4 linked regions of the Styela clava genome follow. The protein of the gene in region 1 interacts with the protein of each later gene in a biochemical or structural test. Links are inferred from orthologs where the notes say so. Each region holds a gene or a part of one and is shown in the gene's direction. Other genes may lie near its edges. The genes, in order: serine/threonine-protein kinase Chk1-like, denticleless protein homolog B-like, serine/threonine-protein kinase ATR-like and DNA replication licensing factor mcm2-like.

Region 1 (8,275 bases):
AGTAAATTGAAAAAAAAGGAACACGAAAGATAATTCGGGCGTAAATACTTGGGTGTGGATGTGGAGTTTTAACATGGAGTGTAATTTCTAATAGGCTATATCTGTACATATAAATAACGAGAATTGTAGAACATAAACAAACAAGCAGTGCGCAATATGTGGTAAATAATTTGATTACAAACGCACTCAACTAAACAACAAGGATAAAAGCACCATGAAAGAAAACAACAACAAACGAAGTAAAATATGACAAGTGCATTGCCCTGGCGTTACAACTTCAGTTTTAATCAAAATTTGCTTAGTGCAGTAGTGTAAGTAGTCTTTTTTATGCAATCTACCTTCAAATATTCGTTACAATTGACTGTTCATGTTTTTCCCAGCTTCGACCAGTTTTCCATGATAAACTCCACGCAGGCCAGCAATGCTGGCCCAGCATGATCTGATGCGAACTGATCCATATCGTATCAGTACTGTATCCGACAACATCGTTTTGATTTAAGTTTGTATGTATCTTCTCAGTAGGGTTTATATTCGTCTAATTTCCAAGTTTTCGTCCAAATATTTCCTACTCCAGTATTCCATCGTTGATATTTTACCCGACGGCGGTCTCAACAAGAACAAATAATAGCAGAACAAATAATAGCACGTGTAAATTTATGCATGGGGCGGAGGCATTTGGGTGCATAAATGAGTAGTATGCTTGTATGCCTAATCTAATAATTACTAAAATAAATATATTGGTTGAACGGCCAATCACAACATGGGAATTAATTCTAAATGGACTATATGACATGGAATATCAAAATTGAACAAATGATGTAAATATGAGTAATATGGTTTTCTGTTGTTGTTGTAGCCTATAATCTTTTGTTTTTCTGAATTTTCTATGCAAATGTTTTTTTTTTCTTGGAAAATGGGTACTAATCTGGATCAAATTCGAACAATAATTGGCAAAAATTGAAATAATAGGCTACATTTGGATAAATCAAAACTATCCTATTCACAAATCCGAATTAGAAAAAAAAAATTATTTATTCATTGTCATTCATTTTTCACTCTTCCAGTCTTCAATTCTGCAGTTTCTTCAACACAACTAACTGATTTGATGAAATGTTTTTGTTTCCTTGGCCGAAAAGTTTGTTAGTCGGATTGCGATTAGCTCAATCTGTCAATACGCAATAATAGTCATCTGGTAGTACTGGCAGACCGGTAACGAAGTTTGCTATTCAACTGGTTCATGCCGATGACTGACGGCTAACAATAGTCTGGAAGTAGACAGGATAGGATTTACATAGTTCTGTATTTATCCTTGGGGAGAGGAAAGTTGGTAAGGTGGACCACGACCTCTTGTTTACTCTTGTGGCATAGAGCAGTACGGCACACTATACAGATCGGTTGACATTGTCTCGATTCAGGAAAATCCATTTTACCAATGATCAGACACCCCTCCTTTGGGAGACGTCTGGACGTTGTTGTCCCTCAATATCGGTAAAAATACAGTATAATGATATTGCGCAAAATACTACAAAGAAGCATAATCTAATAACGTCATCATTGAATTCTTCGGGAAAAAATAATCTGATTTACCCAAGAAAAAAAAGCTTGACTTAAGCTTGATAGAATTCTGGAATTGCTGAATTGTGACACACCTGCACACAGCAATGGAAATACAAACAATACAGTGATGAAGGCGGATACATGGAGATAAACTCTATTAACCTGGACATTCAAACATTCTTTGTTTTCAAAATCAAATTAATAAATGATGCACCATGCTTCAGCCTCATTTCATACGAAATATTGGTGTAATCTAAGAATCACATCAACACATATTGACATAGTGATTGATAAGGCAATACTGTTGTAATGCTTCATTTGCCAACCTACATTCTCAGAGTCAGTGGCTTTTCTCCTCTAAAGTCTGTATAGAAAATTCAATTGGTATGCATGGCATGTGAGTTTAACTTACATACCACACTAATCAAAAAAATTTAATCACCATTTTTTACAGATACAATTAGGTCTATATTAAGCAAACAATGCCTCTTCTTCAGGCTGGAATGTGTCCGTTACTGACTGAAAGTATAGTTGCAAAACTAGCTTCTAATGGAGTAAAAAGAGTATTGGATTTTATTTGTACGGAACCAAGTAAAATTACATCTCAGTGTGAGGTTCAATATAAAACTGTTTTATCGATACGACGTGTATTGCTTGCTGAATATTCATCATTTCCCTTGAATGGTTTGAATCTATATGAAGAATCAATTGCTACCCTTTCAATTCTTTCAACAAATTGTACAGAGTTGGATGATCTTTTATCATCTGGTATATTTACTGGAGAAGTGACTGAAATCTGCGGTTCATCTGCAGCTGGAAAAACACAATTATGCACGGGGCTTGCAATCAATATAGCTGCCTCGTTAAAGCAAAATGTGATATATATTGACTGCAGCTCTGGTTTTTCCCCAGAAAGGGCTGCTCAAATGATTAAAACAAATTTTGGTGAGACGTTATCACATATTAGAGTATGTAAATGCACATCAACTTATCATCTCCTTGACATATTATCAATGATTCGTGGAAATTTAAACTCACATGATACTGGCTTCACCTTAAGCTTGAAAGCAATTATCATTGATTCCTTATCAGCTGTTTTACTCTCTGATTTGAAAAATTTATCATATGTTGAAGGACAATCTCTGGCAACATCAATAAAAAAAGAAATTAATGCCATAGCGAAAGATTTTACTCTAGCTGTTGTAGTTACTACAAACACATATTTTAATATTGATTCTGACTCTTCTCCAAATGCTGGATTTGGTCATTCGTGGAATTCTGCTGTAGCGACGCGAATATATTTATCCAAATCTAATGTTTTGAAAAATGTAAATGATAATTCAATAGAACATGGAATTATACCTATTAAAGTTACTGTGTTCAAATCTCACCATGCAAAAATAGGTGCTAGTATTAACTTACAGTTAACTGAAAAAGGTTTTTGTCCACTATAGCAGGGCTGCATATGAAAATGTCCGCTATTTGAAATAAATTTAGCTGTAAAGGTTTCTGTCCCCTGTGGTAGTGTTGTATATTCAAATGTTTCATATTTAAAATGTTTTGTGTTGAAATTGTGTTATAATCTTTTTTTCATATTGTTTATATCTAAATTATTTTGGCGTAATGTTTAGTAAATGCATTGTCTCAACTTGTTTTTATTATGACCTTCACATACACATCATCTTCTGCGAAGTATTGAATTTTCTACTCCTCGATTATCAAGAAATGTTTTGCTTTCGTGTGACTGTTTTGTTCTGCTCATTAAGAGCCTTGTTAGAAGTAGCATGGATACTATTATAGCTTGAGGTTTACCGCTGCATTTTTCATTCCAAATATGTAACAATTATTCGGAACACTTTCTATGACTAATTTAGTGATGTATGACATGGATCTGATTCTAATCTTAACATGGTAGGTAGACCTCAGATATAGATTAGGTGACATATGACACTTGGCAGTGGACTTCATGCTATAGTAGCACCAATTCATGTTCCCAAAACAATCATATTAAATTGATTGATAAATTGACCGACTTTTATCTGAAAGACATATCTTTAAGTTGGTTCACCTCTCTAGAGACTTGGGGGGGTTATAATTTCTCTATTGCCTATTTTTGTAACTAATTGATTATTTTGTTCTTTGGTAGAATAGAAAACATAAAATGTCTTTTTTGGAGCAATGCGAGGAACAGTTTGGGTCAAAAGACTTGTATAATGTGTTGAATGTATCAAAGGATGCATCAGAAAAACAAATCAAAGCGGCTTATCGTAAAATGTCTTTGAAGGTTCATCCTGATAGGGTAACTGAAGAAGAGAAAGCACTTGCTACTGAAAAATTCCAAATTTTAGGAAAAGTCTATAGCGTACTTTCTGATGAAGAACGTCGGAAAGTTTATGATGAAAGTGGATGTGTAGATAATGAAATTGACAGCGACATTTTTAATTGGAAACAATTTTGGTCGTCAAGATTTGGAAATTTAAACGATGCCATTAAAGAGTTTACTGATGAATACTGGGGCTCGGAAAAGGAAAAAGATGACTTAAAAAAAGCTTATGAGGAATATAAAGGTGATATGAATAAAATAATACAAAATATGTATTGTAGAGCTTTAGATCATGAACAACGATATAGAGAACTGATTGAAGAATGGATCAAAGCTAAGGAATTGCCAAACTATGATAAATTCTCTAAAGAAACCAAAGCAAAACGTTTAGCACGAAAACGTAAATACGAGAAAGAAGCAAAGCATGCAGAAAAAAATGCGAAAGTTTTTGAAAAAGAAATGGGAGATTCCATATCTGACATAGCAAGTATCATTGCCCAAAGAAATGAGGATCGGATGAAGAAACAAGAAGCATTTCTAGACCAAATAGCTGCTAAATATGTGAAACCGAAAAAAGCAAACAGCAAAAAGAAAAAACCTGGCACCAGTAAAAAGAAATCCCCATGAAAATGGTTCATTCCAAAAGTCCCAAGTTCAAAATACTTAATAAAATGTTGAGCTGAATTAACAGTACAAAAATGATCCTATACTGTTTTCAGTAATTGAGAGCAAATTTCTACAGTTTATCAGTTCTACTGTACTATTGCTATAACTTACATACACTTGCATATTTATCTACGTATATTCATGCTTCACAGTGCATGCGTAACAGTGCTGCAGAGGAATTGAAACACTTTTCCTAGTATCATAAATTTATTTTGTCGTTATTAAGACCTAATAATAATACTCGTATTTGTTAATTTTCGTTATTTGAATTCTTCTTTTTGTTCTTTCATTTTTGCAGTAATTTCACTATCTAATCCATGAGATTTTTCAAGCTATTATTGTGTTTAAAAAAATAAGATGACTGCTGCAGCAGTGCCATTTGTAGATGGATGGGATTTCGTTCAAACACTCGGAGAAGGTGCGTATGGTGAGGTTAAACTCGCTATTAACTCAGGAAATGATGAAGCAGTTGCTGTCAAGATAATTGACCTAAAGAAAGCACAAGATGCAGCAGCAATGGATCTGGTAAGATTTTGATAGTAAGAGATTCTCGTGTAATTTTCTTCTAAATAAATATTCAGTTGACCCAAGAGGGTTCGTGCTGTTGCCATAGTCCGATTGGCTCATCATCATAGTATTTCTTTCATCAGGGCATTTCTTACACTCCTAATCGCTCCACATAGGATTTGATTATACTATTAATCTAAAAGGGTGAATACAATTGGAATAACAAGCAAATTTCTACCTTGTAGCACAATGTGTTAACCATCAGTAATTACGGTATGTTATTTAGCATACTGTAAAATTTTGTATCGTGAATTCATCAGATTCGTAAAGAAGTTGGAATACACAAAATGTTGGATCATAAACACATTGTGAAATGTTACGGTACAAGAAAAGAGACAACACATCAATATATATTTCTGGCATATGCAAGTGGTGGAGAATTATTTGATAAGATTGAACCAGATATTGGAATGCCTCCTTCACACGCGCAATCATATTTTAGGCAATTAATTTCAGGTATAAAATCATTTCTTTGAAAAATTATCTTTTCAACTAGTAATTAACATAATTAGTATTTATGTTAATCTTCCAGGTGTTGAATACCTGCATTCTCTTGGAGTGACACACCGTGATATCAAACCAGAAAATTTACTTCTCGATGGAAATAACATTCTTAAGATTGTTGATTTTGGTTTAGCAACAATATTCAGACACAAAGGTAATTTGAAATATATTGCATTAGCTATAGACAGCATTGTGGAATTGGTAGTGTTTTGGTCAAACAAGAACGGAATGAGAGTTCAAATAGCTTGGAATCTGGGGTGGTCTGCGTCAATAGTAAATAGTTCATAGACTCCTCTAAGCCTTGGTGGAACTTAGATACCCTCTGCACATGTTCCAAGAGCTGTTTTGAAATAGCAATGGCTCGTTTCTTCCATTCTTCGAGTTTGGCTCCCCGGTTCTCCCTGTTGTACCAACAATTAAGCTATGTGCTGTTAATGAATTTACAACAGAAAGCAATTGTGATGTACCATGGGATTGTGGTTCTCCCCCAGTAGTTGCCGTTATTCTGACTCGACTATTAATAATAGATAATATTTTAATCATGCTTCTTTTAGGCATGGGCCATATACATATTTTGTCAGAGCAAAATTATTTAAATAAATACCCTAAATTAAATTGTTTATAACTACTCACTCACAGGTAGAGAAAGATTAATCAATAGATGTTGTGGAACACCACCTTATGTCGCACCAGAAGTATTAGTACAAGAACCTTATCATGCCGAACCTGCAGATGTGTGGTCATGTGCAATAGTATTGGTCGCCATGTTAGCAGGTATGTAGGAGAAATATCTATATCAATGAATAGAATAAAAGATAAAGTGAGGTTGATATGTCAAATGTATATGGTGCATTTATTTGCCATAGAAGTTAACATTAGTACCAGATCACCTATATACGTCTTGTCATTTCCCAGCACATTTCATGTGATATGTCCTTGTTAGACATTCCGGGTTAGGATAGCATTTTCTAAATCATAGGCAAACTACAGCGTCTCATCCAGTTGCGTATGAGAATAGCATTGATAATCTTTAAATATACAATCTGAGTGATTCTAAATTACAAGCATCCAAGTACATCGTAGGATAATTTTTGCTGTTTGTTTTTTACATATTCTTGACAACTAAATTTTGGATTGGGAAATGTTTTCTTCAGGTGAACTGCCATGGGATGAACCAAGTGATGGATGCCAAGAATATTGTGATTGGTTAGACAGAAAAGTCCAATTATCACCTTGGAATAAAATTGATACAATACCTCTGGCCCTATTGAGGAGAGTATTGGTCGAATCTCCTGAAAAACGTGCAACTATTGCAACTGTGAAAAAGGACAGGTATGATTAAAATTTTCTTTTATAATTATCAAGAATAGCACGAAAATTTTTCTTAATTTGAGTATCAGTCAACTATATATAGTATTTACTGACTGTAAAAGTGATGATTCAGCACTTGTCCTTGCTTTACAATGGTTCGTGGAAGCTACATTAAAACTGAACTTCTCAATGTCGTCATTTTAAAGAAAATCGCCTAAACTAAACTGGTACACACATCTCCTATGTACTCCCAACAATTCATATCATTCATTTCACCATAATAATTCCCACTATTTGCTTGTTGATTTATATCTATGAAGCATAGGTGGCTGAAACCGAATTTTCCCTTATTTTGAATACTTTTGAAACAGTATTTTTAAATTTGGAATTTAGTTGGTCGAAATAGAGGTTTGCACTAATTAATTTAACATTATATTCAAAAAAATTAGATGTACATCATATTACTTATTGAGAATAGTAAATTATTTGGTACCCACTATGATTAATATGTGTGAAAGCTACATAACATATTCGAACAGATGGTTTGTGAAACCTCTACCATTCAAAAGAAGATCGTCATCATCATTTGACAATTCACCACTCGCAAAACGACTGCTGACTGAATCAGGATCAATCATTATTGCAGTGCAAGATAGGGATGCAGTAAGAACAAATATTTATGTGTACAAGTTAACATCACATGATTGCCTGCATTTGCAAAAGTACATTTTGCACTGCAAGTTCAAGATGTCAATCATTCACTAAAAGTTAAGGTTAATTGAAGTAGTGTGTAACTTTCTACTTCTTCCTCCTATCTGCCTTGTGTTAGTGATTAGTATGCTTCAAGGATATATTAGCAGGAATTAAAATGAGTATATCAAATGGTTCAAAGGGATTGATTCACAAATTTATTGCAATGCTGCATTTATTTCTAATTTACTTGTGCAAGAAAGAACAAAGCCCCGCCCCCGTACATCAAACTCCTGAAGAATAATCACATGTACATCTAGCTCTGAGGTCAACTCAGGGTTTACCAATCAAAATTCAGCGAAAACCTATTTATGGTATATTTGTCAACATCAACAGTATTGATTACTGAATATTTTTTTATTTTATTAGCTTTCTGTCACACAACCTGAACCTCAACTTAACAGCAGTTGCAATGAAATATCTACAGTATCAGTAGACAATTTACTAACTCATGCTTGCTTGTCACAGGTAAAATTCATTTTCTGTTAATTTCTTCAAGATTATATTTTTGTTGTTCGTCTGCATTCACAAATCGGGCTATAGCATGTGTTTGTAATGCACAAAATTTGGGGGCAAATCCCACTGCAAGCTCATGTC
Region 2 (8,182 bases), on another chromosome or scaffold:
CATAAGTAAAAAATCAGCGACATTATGCTTTAACTTGTGATATCTTTCTTCAGGTGAATCATAATTAGTCAAATTGAACGTTGAATTAGTAACTCCAGAAAATTCACCATCCACGGCAACAAAATTTGCTTCTGAAACTGCTTTTTCAACAATTTCATACGTTTCCTTGAAATTATGCCTGGTAATATCCATTTTTATTGATCGAATTAATTTCTAAATACTGGAAAACATTGAGATTGTAACAATGAACACCTCGTTTTATTATCAATAATTTGAATCATATATGTTTATATGATAATCATATGAATATATATGATTGATGATACATGCTGATAATAATATATAATTCGAATCATATTGCACAATTGAAGTACCGAATTATTGCAAAATTTGAACTAGTTAATAAAAAGGTAGGACATAATTTTAAATTGTCAGTTTATTTTATGAAGGGTTATTAGGGAGAAAAATATTGATTAAAAGTAAATTAAAACACTTTGGCACATATGATCGATGATTGCTAAAATGTAATATTTGTAAGGTCATACTTAAATAGCAAATACTTTGGTTTATTGTACCATTTCGTTAATAAGGAAAGATAGGAATTCAATATTAATGTGCAGAAAGAATTGTTCCAATTTTCCTAACTTACTCAAATATACTCAATTGTTAATAGGTAATTAAACACACCATGCTAAAGATGCAATGGTTTTGGCAATATTTTATGCAAAATAACTGGACAAAAACGAAACAGATATTAACATATTCAGACAAACAGATAGCATAATGCATTTTAATTCATAGAAACTGCAATTTTATAATAAAAAAATAATTCCCTGCTCTTGAATACATACATATTAATCTTGAATAGATAACTGGCAATCAAAAAATATTCACTGAAATTCAAATGATTTTTTCGATAGCTTTTTAGCACATACATTATACTGAGTGGTCAAATAAAATGCAATGCCTTTTTCATAATATGCTGCCTCATTAATAAACGCTGGGTAAAATGGACCGCTACTCGAATCCTCTATTACGTCTTTGAGATAAAGAACATTGCCATCAAAAGACAAAAATACAGGATCGTTCAACGTCAACAATTTCCAATCTTGATCTTGAAGACTTGGATGAATCATTGCAGTAAGATGACCTTCCACATCTTGTGGGTACGGTATTTTTGTAACAGCTTCGTATGCTGAAAAATTGACTTCTGGAAATTCCTCACCATTGTTATAGTTTTCAATGAAGTCAAGAGCAAAGTGAACTGATGACTCTTGCAAAGACATTATGTCAGCTCGCAACACACCTTGTGGCTGGGGACCAACTTCTATACCAACTCCCCCATATTTTCCTAATCCTCTACCAGAATCATAACTCACATTGCCAGCAAGGGACATAATATAACACATTCCCTCTGGTAAATGTGTTGATACATAATGCATTAAATGCATATTAAAGTCATTCGATTCCATGTGAAGGAGACTAACTTTATTATTTGCTGTTGTATTGTGTAAATCAAGTATAAATTCACATTCGCCAATTTCTCCACCTTCACTCAACATTCCTTTCAGTTCTTTTGCTCTTCTAACTTCATAGGGTGTGTTTTCATTTATTTCAACTTTAAAATTTTCAGGAGACATTTGCCTGTTTAAATCCACATCCTTATACCGTCTAACCAATTTCACAGCAATTGGATTAGCAATTAACATTTTTGTTTGGAAGGTTGATCTGGTAACTGATTCTGGATTTTTCTCCCATTTTCTCACCAAATGAACACCGGACATCTCATTGCCATGCATTCCTCCAAATATGCAAATTTGTTTCATGGAAGCCATAATCTTTGAATTTAAAAGTTTGCCAAGATAATTGAGAAACTTTTTGTGATTACCTTGCGTATTTGCAACGCCGATAAAAAGCAAATTCTCATTTGGTCACTGTTCCCCCGAACTTTGACCCCATAGATTTATTTCTTAATCTTGCCCGTAAATGAATGGATGTTTCCCTGAACATCGAATTCCTTGTTTATTGCCGTAACAATGACCAATCAGCAATACGGCAACATTGAAGTAACAATTGGAATTTATGCGGCCACTCAGACACTTCTTTGGCTCAAACAGATATTAAAGAATGGTTGTAAACATTGCCTCGTTTTGTGTTTTGCGTGTTGGTATTTCTCAGTTTTCAGTTGTGTTTCCGAAAAATAGTTGTAAATCAAATGTCTTATTTGGAATCATGCCTTCCGAAGACATTCAGTTTAGTTGCAATAATTAAAAGTTGATTACAAGCTGAAAGCAACTATTTGATTTAAAATATTCAATCACTTACCAATAGAATGCCGAAAACTTAATTAACATACCTACTATATATGATTGAATTTTTACATATTGCATTTATTATAAATGTTTTATTGTTTCTTATTTAAATGCTGTGTATATGAATCAATGAATTCATTTTACCTTTCCATTACGTAATGTTTGCCTCTAATGTTACGTAACAATGGAGATAGAGATATTTGCTGCAATTTAGCAAGATGCAGTTTATTTATCTGCTGGATCGAGTTTAGCGATGTTTGCCTATTGCAAAACCAAAAAGATTGCTGTAAACTCAATAATGAACTTGTCAAAAAGCTAGGCCGACGGTTAACGAAAATACCACTACCCTCAAGAAGTTAGTCCGACGGTGACTCGATATTAAACGGTCGTCAGTATGGCGACAACTTCACGCGATCCCGAGATCGTCATGTCGACCACTTCAGATGTATTTTTGATTCATTTTCCACGGAACACTCGGAAGACGCTGCGTAACACAGTTTGGAGAAACGCTGAGTCCTAGTCCATAGCAAGAAATCTATCATACACGTTTTGAATGATTAATAATCTATGTTCAGCATTTATTCTGAATTAAAACGTGTTATTTGTAGGTAAATGGCAATCAATTTTCAAATTTTGTATATTAGAAAACCTCGTAATTTTCTACTTCGTAATTTTGTTTTTAATAAATTAAAATAAAAAGCATCCCCTCAAATAAAGCCCTAGTGTTATTTTTCGAAAGAAATATTTCAGAGAAACACAGTAAGATAAAATTTGAAACTGTATTTAATAGTAATAGGCTATTGGCGACTTCTCCATTTTAAGTACTGAAAAATTAAATTCGATTAATCCGATAAATGCGCGAAAGGAGATTTTTTCGGGTATCGTTTTTCCTAAAAGATCGACAGACGATTCATCACCAACGCTTAGTTGCGGGCGCAATATAGGCCTACCCATACGAGGCGATAGGAAGGCTCAGTGGTGGGCATAATGTTCGCAGGATAAAAAACAAGAGGAAATATCAATATTCGTTGAAATTGCTCAATGCACTAATTCTTTTTCAAAAGCATGTCCATTTTTTTTTTATCTGATACTGTTTTTTATCAGATTGTTTGCAGCATTTTTTAATTGTCATAAAATAACACTGAAGAAAAAGTAAAGATAGGTGAAAATAAAATGTCTACGTTTATGCCAGGAGTGTGACGTTTCATCCGATTACTGGATCTAGGTAGAAAAGAACAAGACTTGATATCGGGATAAAGTTTGAATTAGTTGGGACTATTACAATTTAGCCTTTTTCGTCTCAGTTTACGGAATGTGAAAATACCACTATGCCTCTAATGTCAGTAAAATATGAAACGTCAGCGTATATCTAACATATTAAAATTTATGAGAACTGACATCATTATAGTTTTCGCAAAAACATATGCAAATTAAGCATATATATTATTGCATAGGTGAAGTAGGCTCTAATTTTATTGATGTTGGTATCGCATTGCATGGAGTGCAATAAATTAGATAAGCATTTTCGAACCGGGACGATTCTAGCTCTTACAAATAGCAGTAGCTCCTTACATATCGATATATGTAACTGCTTCCACAGGGCCTTGTTCGGAGCAAAGCATGCGAGTAAGCGTCGTATGAAAAAATAAAATGGAAATCACGGACATATTTCAATCGGGACACTCTATATCTTACATTATCGTAAAAACCGCATTTAAATTTGACACAATTGGTGTGTGTATATAGTTATGCCAAACCTAAACAACCCGGAAAATGACTACGAATTCAACACAAACGGATACTGGTACATCTGCACCTCTCTGTTTTGTGTATTGTACTAAAGATTCATTTGTATGTTTCATCAATTTCATGTCTGTTGCCCAACTATTACGCAGAAATCCTAAACTGCTGTTATACCGTGATACGTGTTCAAGACCTTACTGGTGTAAGACACAGTTGTGCGACATGTTTCATGAACCGTAAATTTATAATACGCAACATATACATATATATAGTTTGTACCGAATAACTTTGTGTATGTTGTATATTTTTATTGTTGTTGTTACAATGCTTGTTTTCTAGTTGACGAAACAATATATCGCGCACTCTCTCAAGTTGGTTCTGTTGTTTCCATACTGTCCTTCTCAGTAATTAGTATGACCCATGACCCGACAATTCGCGTGAACAGCGGGAAATCCAAACGCTGCAAAGACGGAAGGCGCCGACGCCGATTTTTTTTCTCTTGGTGATTTACCGTCGGTTACTTCTGTGTAGTAGCCTACATAATTGCCACCATCACGGTACTTCTGTTACTTTTTACTACCGGTTACTTCTGTGTTCAGTTGTTTGCATTTTGCTGTCACAGCATCGCGTTTAAACCACGCTACCGGTACCGCATCTGTAGCTCTATCTTATATTTCATCTTCTGTATTAAGTGGAATTTGCATGTTATGCTGTCATGGCGTTTAACGTGGGAAAATTAACATTTATTCGTCAGATTGGAATGTCAAATACGAGATATCGAAAATGCGTCAACTATAACGAAAAAGGTCAGGTATTTCTTCATATCATATGCCATCCCTTTTTTAACTTTCCGTGATGTGATGACACAATGTTAATAAATCTGCAAATATTCTTGGTCTCATTGCAGCTCGGATTTAAATATATCAAGTACACTGTCTGACTGTATGTCACAGTCTGACAGTATCATGAGACGAAGATAAGGTAGAAGATATTGATTTTTCCAATTGTTTGAACGTAATACTGATATGAAATATCAGAATATCGCCTGATACCGTACTGCTGTACTACGTTATTTTACAAAATCTGAAAATTACATTATAATATAATATAGATTGCAGATATCATCTTATTGTAATTTTTCATCTGCTTTAATATATTTCTACGATTCTTGTTTAGATTTTGTCAATAGTTTCAATCAACATCACATGCAAGACATATTTTGTGCCAATAATCAGAAATATGTCGTTCCTGGGGAACTTGAGGTAACGAATTTAATTACAATTAGTTTAATCTGGTATTTGGAAAAAACAAACATCGCTTTCAGCGATTTTTATGCAAAACACAATTTTTCAATATCAAAAAATATTACATGTTTTAGAATAGATTATTTTTATTTGTTTCAGCCGGAAGTACCCCCATACACAGTTGAATTTTGTACAGGTATGTTCCACAACTTTTCTTTAAGTGATTCGTTTTTGATTTTATTTGATTACATTTTAGGTCTTTATTCTGGTATTTTCCCTTTCTAATTTGATTTCGGCTTGGCGGTGTGGCGCATCGTGCCAAGCGTTAGCAATACGCTTGCTACCACATCTCTGATTACCTTGCGAGGGTTCGCATGTTCGAATCCCGTGCAGAAATAGTTATGTGCGAGTGGATTGCTGGACTCCTCGCCGCTGTAGGGTGGTCAACGTAACCGCTGGTCGGTTACAGCTTCCTTCACCATCAAGTCCATGCTTCGGAAAATAAATAACTGGCTAATCCCATACTCGACGTGGACTGGTATCTGGACGAGAGCCCGTGGTTTTCCATATGATGAAGCCGTCTTATCGGCTTACCCTTCCCAGGATGAATATGTAGGCTAAATCTTGGGTTAGATTATTGCCTTGCCTTTAAATTATCCTAAGCTTGCTTGAAATAATCAGAATCAACATTCAAATCAGTGGTGGGGTATTATCAAGATTGTACTCATTTACCAAAACAAATACATGGCATGGATTTCTTAACTTCAATAAGTATTATTTTTAAGCTTCCGGCAGTGAGCATACATTTGCAGTGGCAGATGAAAATGGAATCGTATCTCTTTTCATTGCTAATGAACCAGTACTGGGAAATGATGCTGATAAAGTATTGAGGCCACTGCATAAACTTGAGGCACACAACAATGCTATATTTGATATTGCATGGATTCCTCACGAACATTCTCTAGCAACTGCATCTGGTGATCAAACAGCTGCATTATGGGACACACTAAAAGGAGAAGTCATAACTGTTTTCAAGGGACACAGTTGTAGTTTGAAATCTGTGAATGTGTCTAAGCACAATTTGAGTAAGTATGTTATCCAATCAAACATCCTCATTGAATCTATTCCTGTTCAAGCACAATGTTCCCCCCAACACATTTTTTTCTTTTATCTATTTATTCATGTCAATCATGTGATCATTTTGAAAGAAGTATTTTTCATCTATGTTTTTTTCGATGTGAGAAAATTTTACATATATGCAAGGTTCAATTTGTGCCTTTCCTGATGGCAATTTAGCCTATTTATCCCGATTACAATTTATGCATTTCTGTATCTTGAAAACAAGCTGTGGATTCTGAGAACATTTACAATCAACTTTCAGATGAACAAAATTTTGGCTCAGACTCCTGATTCATAGTTTTGAAAGATTTGGCTCCAGCATTGAACTCCGAGAAAGTGCAATTTTGATAATGAAAACTTTGGCGTTCTGTAGAATTTGTTATTTTATCACCTTGGAAATATGCAATTCTGACATCATAAAATGCAGAATTTTGACATTCAAGTTTGAAACTACGACTCCAGACTCCACAGTTCTGCTTTACTCTATTTATGGTATTGTTCAACAGATCTCCTAGCAACAGGATCAAGAGATGGGAATGCATTGATATGGGATCGTCGAACTTCATCACAACCTGTTGTTAGAATCCAGGATGCTCATGTGATTAATGATTCTTTAACACCGATGAGAAAACGAAGAAGAGCATTAGCGGTAGACACTGGACAATTGGCCATAGTAAGTTTTATTGTCGCGACTCGCAAAATACTTTTTGAAATTCATTGCTGATGAGCGAATGATATATGTACTTTCACATTAAAAACCAAAAGAGGGCCACTACATACTGGATTAAATTTGACGAAATGAAAGGAAAATGTTTATTCAAATTTTATTTTATTCTGGAAAATTTATCGACAGTTATAAAACTTTATAAGTACTACTGCAGTATGTCTTCTTTTCAAACGTAAACCCAGCACATACAATGCTGAATTTACCACTTTTGATAAATCTATGCAAAGTGAAACTAAAGCAACACAACTTCAAGAATTATTCATAGAAATCAAGTATTTTTCATGAAATCTAGTTTATTTTGTCCAGAAACAATCATAGATACCGTACATAAGATGTTTGTTTTTGTTGTAATATAGCATTATCTACCTTTAAAATTACATAGAGAGAATGGCCTCCCCGACCAGCAATTGCACGAAGACTTAAAAGTTGAATCATTATTAGTTGACATCTTATGTTTGAATATTAGGATTCTCGACAGACTGTTTCGTCAGCGAAATTTCAAGACAGCAACACAGTGATAACATCAGGAGCAATGGATGGAATGCTGAAGATTTGGGATTTGAGAAAAATTCAAACAAAGAAGAAGACGACGGGTAATTATTATCCTACTACCCTCTTAGTGTGCGCCCTTTTACACTACCAGTAATGAGTTCTTGGAATAATTAGTGATATTTTTTCAAGCGAAGGGAATAAAAAGGGATGCTCCTTTAGAGATGATTCCATATCCCGGATTAAGTCAACGAAGAAGAGGATATACTTGTCTTACACTGGATTCATCAAATACGAACCTATATGCATCATGTACAGATGATTCAATATATCATTATAATTTATCAACTCTACCTAGCAATGGAAGAAGGTGAGCCATTGATGAGATATCTTTATTTCCTTGACATCATCATATAAATGCTAGTTATTAAGGTTGAGATTGAGACAAACGCATGAAAGAACAATGGCTGTGGCATCAAGAGGCTGGAGTTTAGCATGTTTTTATTAATAATTGGAGTCCAATCCTTTACATACCTTGTGAAACCAAA
Region 3 (7,848 bases), on another chromosome or scaffold:
TGAATGTAAATATGCCGGCGATTTTCATTTCTAGTTTTGTTCTTCAAAATCTATAGTTGAAGTGAATCATCAAATATACGAACGGATATTGCTCACAAAATGCAAACATACCTCAAATATTGATTGTAGCTGCAACCGGTGGTATATAGGAATAAGATACACTATGGCAGTCAATGCGGCAAAGATAATTCCAACGGCAATAAGTATATGGGCCGTTCCGACAAGGTACACCTCCGCCGGTATTCCAACCAATGAAAAAGATGACATGTATGTGACACACATCGACAGTCCCACAATGATCTAACATGGAGCATAAAAATATAATTATTCGGCATTGGATTTCTATACGTTGAAAAGTGTTTATGTTGGGTTAGCACGAATTAACTGCACATTTTTCATTTCACCTGTACTTGTAGGCCCTATTATAAATAATATACTATTAATACAGTTGGCTAACGGGTTATCGCGAATGCATCGGTTTGACTTTCACAAAATTTGGACTGCACATTTTCCATTTTACCTGTACTTGTATTATATATATATAATACTATCAATACAGTTGCCTAACAATAAATTCAAAGTTATTAAGATCATATCGGAAACGAGTTTCTTTCATTTTGAGGGATGCACGGTGTCACCTATTGACTAAAATGAATGAGTGATTCGCTAGATGAAAAGACATGATTTAAAATGAGTAAGACTGCGTGGCAGTTGGAGTTCAAACTTCATTATCAATACAATTCATTTGGTAGAAAAATATAAATGCATCGAGTATTACTGAAGAATAAAAGAGAATAATGATCATACAGGATTCGATTTTTTTCCAGCAAAGTAGTAGTTGGCAGTTGTGTTGTTTTTTCTATCTCTGAACGCGAAGAAAACGCCAATGAAAGTGGATAGAGCAAGAAAAACTGAAAAACAAAAATATTATTAGTGTGTACGATTCCCTGCTGCCAAAAGGAAATTTCTAGTCTTTTTTCTTGCAAAAATGTTATGAAAAAACATGGGTAATATCTGTTTGGCGTAAATTCATCAAAAGTTTGAAACTCACAAATTATTCATTGCTGAAGAAACTTGTTTTGCCGTTAAAGAGGCATTTCGACCAAAAGTGCAATATTTTGGTTTGAAAATTACATAATTATTAGCAATTCAAATAATGTTTTTTATAAGTAATTTCATGAAAAAATACATGCTAAGGTTATTCATGAATTCCTCCACATGGACTAATATGGTTGTGTCTAATAGTAAAGTTACTCACTTGCAAAAACTGTAAAATCCACCGCACCAAACCATTTCTTCGCATTATCAGTTGAATCCATAATGTTACGTGTTATTCGTCCAAGCTTTGATTTAAAAAATTATATATCTGTCGCCCTATAGAAATATATATATATATATGAAAGCACGTCTCATAAAACGTAATAAAATGCTGGCGGAAGAACCTCTTGATTGGCACGATGAACGTCTGTCTGCTGCACAGTTTTGTTTGGGTTATCCTCATCAATCACCTAAAGCTAGACACATCGAAGGTGATGAGTGCACTACAATAAACATGCGCAGGCAGTAACAGAGAGTTGCAATAAAATGTTGGTCCTTACAGATAATAAATGCGCGAGGTAGGCTACATCAGTACCGTACTGTACGTGCTGTCGAATTGGGATACTCAACATTATTTTAATGACAATATCTCAATATATATATGCTTCATCACAAAATCCACATCAGATAAATATCTAAAAGATACCATCATTATATGTACATATGTATATAATTATGATTTTTGCGTAATATATTGCTCTGGAATAGATTCTACTACGAGTCATCTAAAATAATCACAATTGCAAAAATTTAATCCGTCGTATTGACGACATAATCAGATATTTAATACTTCAATTACCAAAGTTTAATTTGGCAGCAACTTCTCTATCTTCGTATGTGATTAAATTTCTAATATATATATACATCAACCAGAGATCTACAATAATCTAAACTAAGGATAATGGCCCACTCTTTTCCTCATCAAGCATTCGTTTATTGAAATGTGTTCTCGAATGAAGGATAAACAGTACTCCCATTTGCGGCACTGATTCCATTCTAATATTGGGGACAAGTGGTAATTAAATGCCATCATTAATCAAACGAAACTAGTTAACTACACTATGAAGGAATCGGGATTTCTTTCTTTTGAATTTCTTGTTGAGCAAGACAGCGGACGTCCGGACTAAAGGCAATAGTTAATGCTAATTGCTATTATATCCCATATTTTTCACTTTAAAACCCATGTATTTCGACGATTTGCAACTGGTTTTGTTCATAAACTTATTCCAACTCAGATGTTGTGAGCAGTGAAGTCATCTGTCACGTAAGTTTATGCATTGATTCACAGATGCGCAAGTTACGGTAACTCTTTAAAACTGCGTTTTCATTGATTATAATTTGTGTTTGTCGTCGAAGCACGTTCATGTCATATTTTTGTCATGTATTTCAATTGATATCTTGTCTAAGCTTAGTTACCGTCAGAGAGCGACAAACGATTCGGCTTGCAAATTTTAGGGTATAAAAACATTTGCAACCAATACACAGTCAACTCTATCATGCGATCAATCTGCGACTAATATTCTGTGAAGGAAAGCTTATAATTGGATTGAGCCTGGAACTCATTGATTTTATTATTTGTTCACAATGCATGAAGTAGGTTGGTAAGCTCACCTTACGTGCCAATTAATTTAGCTTTCATTAATTCAAACTTTGAATATAAAAATAAAATCCTGGCAAATAGTCTAAAATTTTACATAATAAACCGCAGAATCAAATCACGAAGTTTATACTGAGGCGATGTTAATGAATAACATCTCTTATATATATATAGACTACCGTATTTGCCGTTAAACTTTTCATTTTTCTAATGTATTGCCTGGCAACGAACAGGCAGTCGGAACCTATATTTACAAATGTCTTGGAACTACGCCATACATTAATTATTTTTGTGAATTCTCACGGAAGCTCGTATTTACCGAGTTCATCGCTTAAAAATTCGTCTTTATTTTTACGAGTCCTCTCAAATAATCCCAAGTGCAAAAATTTAGTTCGTCGTAATGACGACATAATCAGGGAGCCCGTTTAATACTTCAAATATCAAAGTTTAATTTGGCAGCAACTTCTCTATATTCGTATGTGTTTAAATTTCCAATACATTACCTAGAGATATGCAGAAGATTTATTTTTAACGATATCACACCTATTAACTATAACGATATTAGTATTTGAAAATCTTAGGTTTCAAATTTTCGCACATTGTTCGTCATTTTTTATATTTACCCATTTTTTACATGTGTCTTTAAACAATACCAATGCGTAAAAGATGATGTTTGTTCGTAGCCCTATTACTAGTTTGCGAAATTAACTCGTCAGATTGTCGCAACACCGATTACTGCACCTTACACAATCAGCAACAGAAATGGAATGGATACTTTGTGTGTGAGACACGGTGTTTTCAAATTTGATATTTTTTGTTTACAGATTCGTTTGAATTATTAGATATCATTTTTCGAGTTCGGTATTCAGTTCTGCTATTTTAACGATCAATGGCGCGGTTGATGATTATCTAGTTTTATAGCACGAGATTCGATGAACCCTTTGACGAACAACCATCGTGTTTCGTATTGAAATCTGATTCTTTTGTTTACGGCATATTTCTTTAACTAAAATTTGTGTTGAATTCAAGAAAGTTATAAAAAAACATTCGACTTATAAACATTAAAAGTAAAACAAACAATAAAAAAATAACCAAAAAAGTTATATGAAATACTGCATAAGAACAAGAGAGCGATGCTAAAATATAAGGACACGAAAGCCAAAGTGAAGCCGACTTTAGCGTAGCATGAGGTAGGTCGCAGAACCCCCACAAATATTTTTTAATCACTTTGAAGAGGTCATCACATAAAATATCGAAGTGAAAAACGAATCACATAGATCCCACGGAATATTTGGAAATAATTAAAAATGATATCCTCCTAGCAAAAAGTAGAATCTTCAACCACTGAGAATTTCAAAGTAATTGGTTCAGTAGTTCAGGAGAAAAGTGATTTTTTTCCATGACAATAAGGAGATAAATACCAACAACAACAACATAATGACAAGACGATCCATGTTTACATTTCGTGTCCAATAACGAAAGCAGTCGGGTATGAAAGCTGAAGTTATCAATTATTCAAGTAAATAATTAAAGCAAGTCGCGTTGCGCTTACACGTTAGTTCTATTTATTTTCTTTTCAAGTTGAATATTAACCAACCAGTTAGGCACGGCTATATTTACGATGAATCGCAGTGGAGATTGGCTCACTCTTACACCTCCAGGCGGTCATTTCCTTATGTTTTGCAAGGAATCGTTCATGCGTAAATAGTGGCGGCATTGGGCTAAGTTTTTAATTAAAGGTGACAGTGAATTCTTAGTTTAGGATATGTATGTATGTTTATTCGTCTCGTAAAAGCAATATAAAAGAATTAGTAATTATAAATACTGAAGACGGGATGGATGCACAAGACCATACTGGCCTAAAACACGAATGTGCGGCATAGTCTACACCCCTTTTGATTATAATACAGTACCGGTAATACTGTAATAAGGTAAATCAAATAGACTATGTATAATATGGTCCTTTATACAGACAGAGACAGTTGTGCAAGGAGGGTGGGTGGGAGTGGTAACAGGGGTAAGGGTGGAGTATACAAAACTGTTTGTACAAAGGAGTTTGTATAACAAAACAACATCTACCGTATAACTGTATAAATAGAGACACAACACAACATGAAACACACTGCATGTAGGGTGGTGTAGCCAGTCTGCGGACGATTTCATTCAAACCGCTATAAAACAAAAACCAATATTTCTAACTCGTTAATTTTTTCACCGTAGGTGCATTGGCATTTATTCCACACGCTGAACTTCGAATTAACTTTCTACGACCAGGGGTTAAAGTTATACAAACCACCAAAGTATGACACTCTGAAGACGTTTTTGCGACCGAACGACCAGTGTGCGATCACGGATTTTAAGCCTTGAACATCGTTTCTGCTGCGTCGAGACTAGGGCATACGGTACGCAGCCATGCGTGAAAAAATGGGCTTCTAATTGCATTTCTGACCGTCATATATTTTAAGAACACGGGTATTTCGAACAAAATTCTTCAAATTATAAACAAAGCACCGCATCACAGCAATCAAACTGACAAAAACATGGTGGTCGCAAATTAGTTGACAAAGATATTATTGAAGTATTGGAAATGCGCACCCCCCTACTCCCCCTCCTTTGAATGTAGAAACGCGAAACTTTAAAGATGGTTAAAAGAAACACAACTCTACCCACCTGCCAAGTTTCATCTCTTTATCTCTTATATTTGTTTGGATTTTCAAGCTTTTTTGAAGGAACAATGGGTAGTTGGCGACATGGTAAAATGGTCCGTTTTTTTTTCTTCGGTCAGGTTTTCGGTCGTAACTTTTTTATTTGTGGCCGCATTTTAGTGTAATTTCGCAGAGCTACGAGGGATAAGTGGACGATAACGCGTGAGAAATATCGTCGCGGTTCGTTAATTTTTTCGGCATTAATTTAATCGATGAAGTTGATGGTCGCAGATAGGTCATGGCCGCAAAGTGGGTAAGTCACCCTAAATATAGTAATTAGTTACTATAAGTACAATACCATTGAGTGATGGTACCACATAGACTAATGCTAAGTTAAACATTTGCGACATATGAATGTATCGATGGGGCATTATATTAATTTGAATCTTGTTTTTCACTGATTTGCGGCGTATGATTACATCGATGCGGCATGATATTAAATTATTTTGCTAATTTTATTCTTGTTTTTCCGATCTATTTTTGTATAAATTACGCATTTTGCGACATATGAATCTCTCTTTGCGTCATTAGATTGTATTATTGCTTTATAAACTTATTCATCCAATGCTGCATCGAGGCATTAAATTTACTGTTTATTGATTGTAGGTGTACGAAAGAACATAAAATATGATATATGGTGTTATCAAAATGTAATTTTTATTATCTCTGATCCATTTATTATTGTTAACACGCCATCCTATTTACATTGAAAATGAGAGAAACACGCCAAGCCAAGGTTTGCGTCGAGGAACGGCCGATGCGTGCCTGCGTGCATCGATTGAAATTCAGTCATGGCACACGCCGCCGATCGTTTTTTGCTTATTTCTCTCAATCGCTTCGGTAAAATTTTTTCTCCTTTGGTGGATCTGATTATTTGTTTCCGAGGAATTCAATGGTGATGGTCTAAGCTTGGCGCTTATTTTTAGTTCAATACGCAACTTCGTTTTACTGTATCTTTACCGATATGGAGAGAATTAGCCGCCATACGTCTCTCGAGGAAGGGGCTTCGATTTCTATTTAAAATAGGATTCTCTGAAACGTGTTGATATTACGCGATACAAATACCGAAACATACGATACAGCGCGTAGCATTCTCTAGTCTTTTCAAGCAGACATGTCCGCACCCGACAAGAGTCTGAATGGAATAATATGGTGAAAGCAGAAAAGCCAATGAGACCCACCGTACTGACTCCCTGACCAGCAGACTCCAGTCTGTACAGTGTTATGGCAGTATGGTGCTGCATTTCAATATTCCAGTATTCTATTATGCCGTTATGGTATTGCCAAACTGCCAAATGATCTGTCTGTCTTGCATCATATTAATAATATTAAATTTTTGTCGGTAAATTATTTCAATACTGTAATAACTGAATCATATATAACTTTTGAACATGGGAACGTCTCTATTTTCAACATAATTAACGACTGAACGATTGGATATAAAGTGTGAAACTATTGAATCAGCAAATGGAACTGGGGAATACTGGAGTAGGCATTGATTATGGTAATGAGTTTAGTCTTGGGATTTTGACTTGATTTTGACATATCTCAATATCTTCGACAACTTTGGAGCTAGAAAGTTTGGAAGCGTATGAAATACTCGTCATTCATATTGTATAAACTCAAGATTCTTCATTCATTCATTAATTTGTTTATTTTCCATCTTGAATAATGGCTGCTATCGGAGAAATTCTGAGTAGCATTGTAGCAGATTATGAAAATATTTCAAGGTATGTACTAATGTTATATTTTCTCGAAAATTCAGAATTTGGTTAGGAGATATTCTCATGGATAGGTTAAATGTAGTGAATAATGGTTTGCTGGACAGCTACACTGCATTGGATTGTATGAAATATCTCAACATTATAACCAAATGCATAATTTTATCTATTTACAGTCTTGATAAATACTGATAGAGAAAAAGAATTAAAACCTTACCTGCCATGTAGTAGCGGCATCTTTTCAAATGATCTAGTCCTATTTTTTATTTGATTTTGATTTTTTTCAATATTCATCTATCAAATTCACAAAATGATGGCATGAAAAATTTGCTTGCTAATATCCATTCCATATCCTGATATTGATACAAAATTCGAATCTTGTCAAAATTAGATTTACCCATATCGGCCATATCAAAAATGCAATATTTAAACGCATTGCGAAGCCTTATCAAAGAAAACATCTCATTCGAAGTAGCCAATTGTGAAACATTCATTGTCCTTAATTAGGCTTTCTGAATTCAGGAAGTTTTTTTCTACTTTTCTTTGTACATATTTATTCATCGAATTATTGTCGTCCACAGTTTGCCTCCAGAACAACTTGTAACAAAATGTGTGAAGATTCGTGAAAGTTTGAAGATGATTATTCATCATCATTTGACAGATGTTAATTCAATTTTTAAAGAACTTGAAAAAGCAAAGGGAAAAACTTCCCAAGTAAATTATTAGT
Region 4 (8,634 bases), on another chromosome or scaffold:
ATATATTAAAAAAAAGCTTTAAAAAGAGTGTGATTTGGGGTAATTAGCCCAAGGATGAACGTATGACCCAATTTGGAAGTGTTGTCTGGACAGAAATTGGTTGTCATGTCAACCGATAATCGAAGATATTTTATTTTTTTCTGGTGCTTTCACCTTTACACCGAAGATTTTAAACAATTGGGACAAAGTCTGACGATTCTCGAGAATCGATTCTAGCGTAAATATATACTACTGCGGATTCTAGTACTGGTAATAGTATCACCCTAATATCAATAAAGTTATGCCTTAAAGTCTTTTGGCGAATTTTATTCATAACTAGGCCCTGTACGACCAGCAATTGATATGCAAAAAACTACTCTTTATTAAATACTGAAAAAAAAATAAAACAGTTTTTTTCAACCTTTCAACCTTATTCCTTTTTATCGGGCCTCGTATCACTTCGCTTTCGATTTTTTTTTTATTCAGAGGTTTACAAGGGGAGAAAACGCTTTCTTTCTTCACAAATTTAGCGAGCTTCATCCTTCGTGAAAAATAAAATACACATTTTTGTGAGCTATACCATCATACGTCCTCCGCATAAAGCGATAATTTGCAACCGTTCATATAATCCGTTGGTGCTTAAACTAAATTGATTTTTTTTGCCAAGAGCACGTTCCTGACAATATAATAATTATATATACATGTTGGGCAATGTTACAATCACCGGTTTGCCATAGTATAATGTCTCATTTGTATTCAATAAAGTCGACACGAGGGCTTATATTCTAACCACAACACAATATTGATTTTATTCATATTATTGAACTTGATAAATTTAATAATGTAAAACAAGATATGTACGTATAAACCCGTTTGTATGTAGTGCAATTACCGGTCAAAGGGACTTCAAATGTTCAGTGCATAAAGATGTAATGATAGTCGCTAAATGCATGGTCCCGTTATTTTACCCAGAGTTGTGCTGTTTTAATGGGCATGAAATCTCCAAATGGTTCTGATATTTCATGTATTGGCCTATGAGAGTAGCGGAGGCCAACGTATTTCCAATTCTTAATAAAATATACCAATCCAAATGCCCATTGTGGGCTATATTTTATGAATTAGAACAACGGAAATCTTAATAGTTCAAACAGAAAGATCTTTTTTGTCCCCTATTGTTCTTTTGTCATACTTATTTTCTAAGCGCAAGGTAAATGGGCTAATGCTGTGGTAACTGAACCGCCGTTGACGCCAGACTCAACAACACTTTGCTCCACGTAGCGCTAAGTTTTTATTATTGATATTACGCTATAAAACACAATCACGATGGTAAATTTCGCATTGAAAGTGTGATTTGACGTATTTGTCAAACCGAAGGAAAAACTAATTGCAGACTTGTAACAATATACAAATTGCTAATGGACAATGTGAAATGATACAAATGAATAAATAGAAAAAAAAAATCTGAACAAAAATGTGATTTGTCGTTATTAGTTTAAGAAATGGATGTGTGACTCCTTTTAGCAGTGTTGTTGGACAGAAATTGCTTGTCTTGTTAAATGATAATCAAAGATATTTTATCTTTCATCCATTTATTGGGACACCTCTAAACATTCCCGACCATCTATTTTGGTGGGATTACTCCACGAACGGCGTATGATATGGTACTAGTGCCACCCTAATATCATTACATATTTGCCTTAATTATTGAATACCGAAAATAAAATAAAACAGTCCTTTTTTCAAAGTTACTTTTTTGCTATCGGGCCTTATACCCTTTGTGTTTCGATTTTTGTGTTCAGGGGTTTACATGGGGAAAAACGCCTTCACTCCTCACAACTTCAGCAATCTTTGTCTTTCTGATAAGAAAAATGCCAAATTTTGTGACCTATACCGTCATCCGTATGACGCGATTATTTTCAGATTCTCTTGTGGTTCATACCTGAATTGGATTTCTTGTCAATAGCGCGTTCCTGGCAATAAAATAATTATACATGTATGGCAAAGTTATTACAAATCATCGGTTTGCCGTAATATATTGTCTCATTTGTATTCATTAAAGTCGACTTGGAGGGCTTATATTCTAACCACAAAGTGATATTGAAATTTAATAATGTAAAACTTGATATTTATGTATGTGAAAACCTGTTTTGAACATTTTAGATATAACGTCTTATCGAGTCTGCTGTGAGATAAACTTTAATAGATCGTTTTGGTAAGTTCTATGGTAAGTTGATGGTGATGTGAAAAATTGCAATTAATGGGCAAATGGACTTCAATTGTTCAGCACATAAAGATGAAACGATAGTCGCTAAATGGCAATTCATTTTAATATTTTTTATTATATTCGATTCTCCGGGGCCTGTTATTTGATCCAACGATTTGCTGATTTTTGGACACGAAGTCTTCATATGGTTCTTATATTTCGTGTATTGGGCTTTGGGAGGTGCGAAAGTCAACGTATTTCTATTTCTCGATAAAATAAGCCATTCCAAAGGACCATTGTGTATGTGTCTTGTATTTATCTGAATCGGATTATTTATTTTTCCCGCGTTTATAAACATTGGATGTTGACGAAAGGAACATTTGACTCCGTTGACGAAAAGGGCATTTCGTGAATCGCTGCTCGAATACCTACTGTGTGAAGAAAGTTGACGTAGGATAGAATAGGATTTTCATATTCATTACAGGAGTGAAGAAAGCCGATCATATGTTTGCTAACGGACTCCGATAACGAAAGGGACATTTCGTGTATGGTTGCTCGAGGACATACTGTTTGATTAAATTTTCGTGGGATAGGATAGGATTTTCATATTCATTACAGTAGTGAAAAAAGCCGATCATATGTTTGCTAACGGACTCCGATAACGAAAGGGACATTTCGTGTATGGTTGCTCGAGGACATACTGTTTGATTAGATTTTCGTGGGATAGGATAGGATTTTGATACTTATCACAGGGAAATGAACCCGCACACAGGGTAATATCAGATGTGGTGGCGAGCGTATTCCGGACGCTAAGCACGATGCGCCACACCCACGAGCCGCGCTCACTTGTTCACATACATTTTTAATGCGTTTCTGTTTTTCGGTTGGTATAACAATAAATTATATTTATCTTCTTCATCGTGATTCCTATTTTTATCGATAATTAGCTGTTTAAGTTTTCAATGAATTGCACGAACGATTGCGGGTGTAAACAAATGCAAAAATTGAAACTGATCACCAAGCACGGACACCCTGAAAAATCTATCAAGACCAATACAAAAAACAAAAACAGAGAAGAACACAATTAAAACAAACGTTGCTTTTTTTTGTTTTGGCAGAGTTTGCACTCATTGTTGGGGCAGATTTTCAGCAAGTGCCCACAAAAAATTACATCGAACGCAAAATATCTTTCTTTCTTCATCTACCCTTATAATTAAACTACATTATGTTTTTTTTATCGTTAACTTTGTTGATCACTTTAACGTGAATGCTCTATATTCCAGTAGGAGAGAAAGATTTTATTACCACAAACATTGTCAACAGTGTGGACTCAACACTATGATACATTTGAAGTAATTGAAAAAATATATATAACTTTACAATAATTGGTTGATACCTATTTGTGAGGATCAGTATGCCAGACCAGTTAGGTCGCCGAGGCCTCTGGTCCATGCTGTATATAAACAAGGGAGCTGTGCTCAAATATGTGAACACGTCACATGGTGTCGCTATTTTTTATTCTGACACATAAAAAACGAATCTCTTGAAGTCCACAGAAATTTTTGAAATAAGTAAAAGTAATAGCCTTCTGGCAAAAAATCAAACTTTAACAACTGAAAATTTCAAAGCAATTGGTCCAGTATTTAAAGAGAAAGCGATTTCGTCATGACGAAAGAGAAGAATAATACTAACAAGAGAGCTGTGCTCAAATATATGTACACGTCACAAAGTGTCGCTATTTTTTATTCTGACAAATAAAAAACGATTCTCTTGAAGTCCACAGAAATTTTTAAAATAAGTAAAAGTAATAGCCTTCTGGCAAAAAAATAAATCTTTAACCACTGAAAATTTCAAAGCAATTGGTCCAGTATTCGAAGAGGAAAGCGATTTCATCATGACGAAAGAGAAGTATAATACTAACAAGAACAACAACATTAGTGATGAAATATCGATAAAATAGAAATAAATATTTTCAAGTTAATAATGCAAGTCGTGATGTTAATAGGTCACGTGGAGTTTCTGAGTCCGGCCAGGTCCATAGAATCAGAACAATTATCAAGGGCTTAGATTAGTTTTTATAAATATTTATAATAGTTTTTGTAATTAAATAATTATTGGACCGGGTCAGGCTTTAATACACAGAGAAAAAATAAGGAGGCAATCGGATTATCACAGATACAACAATAATGATAGATAGGAAGTACTATTAACAATGGCTTTTTGGTGGAAAACAATAATAAAGTACATTGTAGTAGTTTGTGTCAGAAGAAAGAAAACATTTGAGTAGCCTATACTTTTACAAAAATTGAAAGTGGCTCGTGACCTTTAATATACAGTTTTATTACGGAATGGTTAAATTTATAGTATTATAATACAGTGAATACAGTGTTCGGAACATCTACTTTAAAGAATATTAAACTTAATATTTTTATCAAGATAATCATTATTCAAGATATTAAGACAAATTTGAGTATTCAAGGAGGGAGAACTTTTTTCAGTTTCTTATCGAAAACATGCACATAACTTTTTTGGAACCCTTTACGGGTCGGGAGCCAAGAGCCTCTATTTGTTTTGCAGAATGACCCACATAAATTGATGTGGTCCAAAAATGTGGATTTTATACATACTACTGTATACACTTACTTGATAATGTCAGTAATAATGTTATTCATGTAATAAAACCTCTCCCCGGTCATGGATATGGGCGGGTTTTAGGAGAACCGTTGCGAATGTAAATATTTTTTGCCGCAACAAGTCACGTGTCTCTCAGTGGCGGGAATCAGCTGTTGTTAGAAGTCATGCCGCGAGCCTTTGCTGTACTTTTCGTTTGTGGTGCTCGTTCGTGTATTTGTCTGTCGTTTTCATTCAATAATTTCTGAATGTGTTGTTTTTAGTATAATTTATTTTTAATATAGCCTAGCCTAATTTGTGAAGTTATTTTCACTATGGCTGATGACAGCATGAACGGAATACCATCCGACCCAAGAACCCCTATCAGCGACCCGGTCAGTCCAAGCAGCAGGGGAGCGCCTTTTGCATCAAGTCCAGGAGGTGCAGAAGATCTTCCACCATTTCAAGATGAGAGTGAAGCTGATGCTTTATTGGTGAGTATTTTGAGTAAGAGTTTTCAGTTTGGAATTTACCTGTTGATTCTGTAAAAAGGCACCGAGCTAATTCAATTTTGCACGCCAAAAATTTGCAATTGCTCACCAATGAAAATCGGTTTAAATGGTTTTAAATCAATAATCCAGTACCGGTAATATAGAAAAGCCAACAAACTGTAGCTCTACAATTGTCGACTACATAACACTGAGCTTGCAAGATTCTGAGATTTGGCCTGATCGAAAAATGTTAGTGACGAAGTATAGAAATAATATTCGGAGTCAAAGGTCAAACGTCCATTCTGTTATGATTCAACATATTTTTTATTCAATAATTCTACGTAAAAACACTCCCAAAATTAACGGATTATTGACAAAGTATGTTCATTTTGCTCTGATATAACGTATTTTTTATCCAATAATTTTACGGGGATGTACTGAACAGTACCGGTATCAAGTTAATCACAGTATAATAAACTTATACTTAGGCTATATACTAAGTCGCACAAACACTCAAGATTAATGACAAGTATAGAAATAATGTTTATGGGTCAAAGGTCAAACGTCCATATTTGCTCTGATTCGACGTATTTTGTATCCCATAATTTTACGTGGATGTATTGAACAGTATCAAAATCAGTTGCACGCGGGCGCAGTTGTTTTGCACGAAGTAAGCTATAATTGCACGCCTGGAATTCTGATTTGCACGCCGGAATTTCTGATTGCACGCCCGATTTCTTATTCAAAACGGCCATGAAATCCAGACTTGGGTAGGGTGGTGTAGCCAGTCTGCGGACGATTTCATTCAAACCGCTATAAAACAAAAACCAATATTTCTAACCCGTAAAGGTGCATTGGCATTTATTCTACACGCTAAACCTCTAACTTTCTACGGCCAGGGGTTCTACGGTCATATATTTTAAGAACACGGTTATTTCGAACAAAACTCGTCAAATTATAAACAAAGCACCGCATCACAGCAATCAAACAGACAAAAACACGGTGGTCGCAAATTGGTCGACAAAGATATTATCGGCGTATTGGAAATGCGCTCCCCCTATTCCTACTCCTTTGAATGTAAAAACGCGAAACTTTAAAGATAGTTAAAATAAACACAACTCTACCCACCTGCCAAGTTTCATCTTTCTATCTCTTATATTTGTATGGTTTTTCAAGCTTTTTTGAAGGGACAATGACTAGTTGGCGACATGGAAAATGATCCCGTTTTTTTTCTTCGGTCGGGTTTTTGGTCGTAACTTTTTTGTTTGTGGCCGCATTTTAGTGTAATTTCGCAGAGCTACGAGGGATAAGTGGACGATAACGCGTGAGAAATATCGTCGCGATTCGTTAATTTTTTCGGCAATAATTTAATCGATGAAGTTGATGGTCGCAAATAGGTCATGGCCGCAAAGTGGGTAAGCCACCCTAGCTCTAGGTCAGTCTGTAGCTGCATAGAACAAAAATATTACTGGTCTATGAAATGGAATCTTCCGGTATATCATCACCCTGTACCTGAAAAACTAATTTAGTATTCAAAGCAGTAAAATCATTCCTCTAAATACAAAGCGATGAGAATGCATACTTCATAACTGTCATAATTTTTAAATGCCAAATAAACACAGAAACAGGAATCCCTATCAGTCTGAAATAAAAATGGGTCAGAATACGGTATGGCGCATTTATTCGATTCCAAGAATAGCCACATTAAAGGACATCAAACCCCTCATTTATGAGACAGTCTGGGCCCCGATATTGGCATAAATTGGCAAAGCAGCTTTGCACAATATACTAAAAGGAAGTGCAATCTAAAATCGTCACCTTTGGATTTCTTGGTTTAGTTTAAAATTTACTGTAAAATTTTCAGCAAAAAAATGCAATTTGGGTCATGTGACGACCCCGCGATTAATAGGCTTGCACGTAATTGACAAAAATCAATTCCGTAATTACGGCAAAATCAATTACGTAATGACCCCGTAATTGCGATATTTTTCCATGCATTTAAACCTATCATAACAACCAATTGAATCCTCTTCTTTTCCGAATGGAACATTGAAGTTGGGTTTTCATATTCTTGGCAGTACTACACGCCGTCGGCAGATGTTAAAGGCAAATATCAAGGAGTGAATTCAAATTAATTTTATTCTGATTTTTATCTTTTGTGTTAGCTTTGGTTTTCCTTTATCACCTTCGCAAATTAACCGTCCCATTTTTATGCGATCAATTTTATTTTATTATTACCGACACTGGTATACGGATATTTATGGAAACGATAGTTTTTTAAAACCACCTTAGTGCTGAATAAAAATTACGGGTTTCTAATTTATTAACTAACGACGAGCGTATTCTCTCGTTTGATTATACTTGCGATTTCCTCGCGACGAAGACTTGTTTTTGCAGCGTCTTCTGCATTATCCGATATTACTGCCTTGTTAGCATTTTATAATAATAAATATTGATGTCGACTTATTGACGATATTCCGATTACCATGTTTCATTTTACATTCAATCATTTCGCGGACTGAATGTTTATAACATTATTTGCGATAAATTTAAGATCAAATATTATTTATTTGAGTATAATTTAAATATGGAACTTATATGATATGCCTTCTCCGAAAACACAAAGTTATATCGCAAAACAATGCATTTTGTGACATTTATTTTACACTCACGACATTTATTTGCTAACTCAAGTCGTCGATCCTATCGGCCAAGATTGACACAAGTTTGGTCGAGTGCCGGTGGTATTCAAGTCGACGATAAATCAAATTAAGTTGCCGCATTTGGTAAGACAGTTAATCATATAGGGCCGAAATATTGAGAGGAATTGTGAAAAACATCATGAGCAAGGCCAAGTCCGGACTGATATATAACGATAAAACCGTTAACAGAACATCAAGATTTTGTAATAGAAAATGGATCTCGCACAGAATAAACACACTGGCTCATATTTGATTATGTATGATCCGTCGTTTTGCTGTTTCTCTGCCGTCTCAATCGCTTTACCGATGCCGAGAAGACGAAGTTGCGTTGGTTCATTACGCAATCTCTCTTTTGTCGTCATATTGCTATTTGATAAGCGCGACATTAATTATCACGGCGAGGTATTGGCGCGAGTGATCAATCGCTCTTTTCGCTTATTCGGTTCCAATTCGTCGCGAAAGCTCTTCGTTAAATTTCACAAGATCGTCGTGCTGAAATGTTATGGATATTTTCCTGTTTATACCCCAAGTCTGAAATAAAACAGCCAAAAACAGTATGATATTCCATGTTCATATATCAAGTGTTCATATTAACAATAAAGAATGGTTAAGCATTGCTAATCCACACTTGGTGGGGAATTCCCACTAT

Evidence for each region.
Region 2: of the proteins of serine/threonine-protein kinase Chk1-like (region 1) and denticleless protein homolog B-like, one has a biochemical effect on the other in vitro, tested with the Homo sapiens proteins (2 studies listed by BioGRID). The link is inferred for Styela clava from reciprocal best matches to the Homo sapiens genes CHEK1 and DTL.
Region 3: of the proteins of serine/threonine-protein kinase Chk1-like (region 1) and serine/threonine-protein kinase ATR-like, one has a biochemical effect on the other in vitro, tested with the Homo sapiens proteins (7 studies listed by BioGRID, with this or other methods). The link is inferred for Styela clava from reciprocal best matches to the Homo sapiens genes CHEK1 and ATR.
Region 4: the proteins of serine/threonine-protein kinase Chk1-like (region 1) and DNA replication licensing factor mcm2-like form a complex in vitro, tested with the Homo sapiens proteins (2 studies listed by BioGRID, with this or other methods). The link is inferred for Styela clava from reciprocal best matches to the Homo sapiens genes CHEK1 and MCM2.

What each region holds. Positions count from the first base shown.
Region 1 is NC_135256.1:8,813,789-8,822,063, forward strand, and holds the start of serine/threonine-protein kinase Chk1-like, read left to right. Parts: upstream 1-4,883; 5' UTR 4,884-4,903; coding exon 4,904-5,071; intron 5,072-5,373; coding exon 5,374-5,569; intron 5,570-5,645; coding exon 5,646-5,771; intron 5,772-6,256; coding exon 6,257-6,391; intron 6,392-6,771; coding exon 6,772-6,949; intron 6,950-7,467; coding exon 7,468-7,591; intron 7,592-8,047; coding exon 8,048-8,146; intron 8,147-8,275. Other genes in the region: DNA repair protein RAD51 homolog 4-like, read left to right, coding at 2,040-3,011; dnaJ homolog subfamily C member 9-like, read left to right, coding at 3,719-4,507. UniProt on the Homo sapiens protein: Serine/threonine-protein kinase which is required for checkpoint-mediated cell cycle arrest and activation of DNA repair in response to the presence of DNA damage or unreplicated DNA.
Region 2 is NC_135253.1:12,719,546-12,727,727, forward strand, and holds the start of denticleless protein homolog B-like, read left to right. Parts: upstream 1-4,587; 5' UTR 4,588-4,770; coding exon 4,771-4,861; intron 4,862-5,231; coding exon 5,232-5,317; intron 5,318-5,458; coding exon 5,459-5,495; intron 5,496-6,084; coding exon 6,085-6,384; intron 6,385-6,924; coding exon 6,925-7,091; intron 7,092-7,611; coding exon 7,612-7,738; intron 7,739-7,826; coding exon 7,827-8,004; intron 8,005-8,182. Other genes in the region: poly(A)-specific ribonuclease PARN-like, read right to left, coding at 1-192; aspartoacylase-like, read right to left, coding at 891-1,835. UniProt on the Homo sapiens protein: Substrate-specific adapter of a DCX (DDB1-CUL4-X-box) E3 ubiquitin-protein ligase complex required for cell cycle control, DNA damage response and translesion DNA synthesis.
Region 3 is NC_135260.1:13,862,108-13,869,955, forward strand, and holds the start of serine/threonine-protein kinase ATR-like, read left to right. Parts: upstream 1-4,697; 5' UTR 4,698-7,071; coding exon 7,072-7,130; intron 7,131-7,702; coding exon 7,703-7,835; intron 7,836-7,848. Other genes in the region: sodium-coupled monocarboxylate transporter 2-like, read right to left, coding at 112-300, 808-911, 1,259-1,319. UniProt on the Homo sapiens protein: Serine/threonine protein kinase which activates checkpoint signaling upon genotoxic stresses such as ionizing radiation (IR), ultraviolet light (UV), or DNA replication stalling, thereby acting as a DNA damage sensor.
Region 4 is NC_135252.1:13,314,980-13,323,613, forward strand, and holds the start of DNA replication licensing factor mcm2-like, read left to right. Parts: upstream 1-5,027; 5' UTR 5,028-5,127; coding exon 5,128-5,286; intron 5,287-8,634. UniProt on the Homo sapiens protein: Acts as a component of the MCM2-7 complex (MCM complex) which is the replicative helicase essential for 'once per cell cycle' DNA replication initiation and elongation in eukaryotic cells.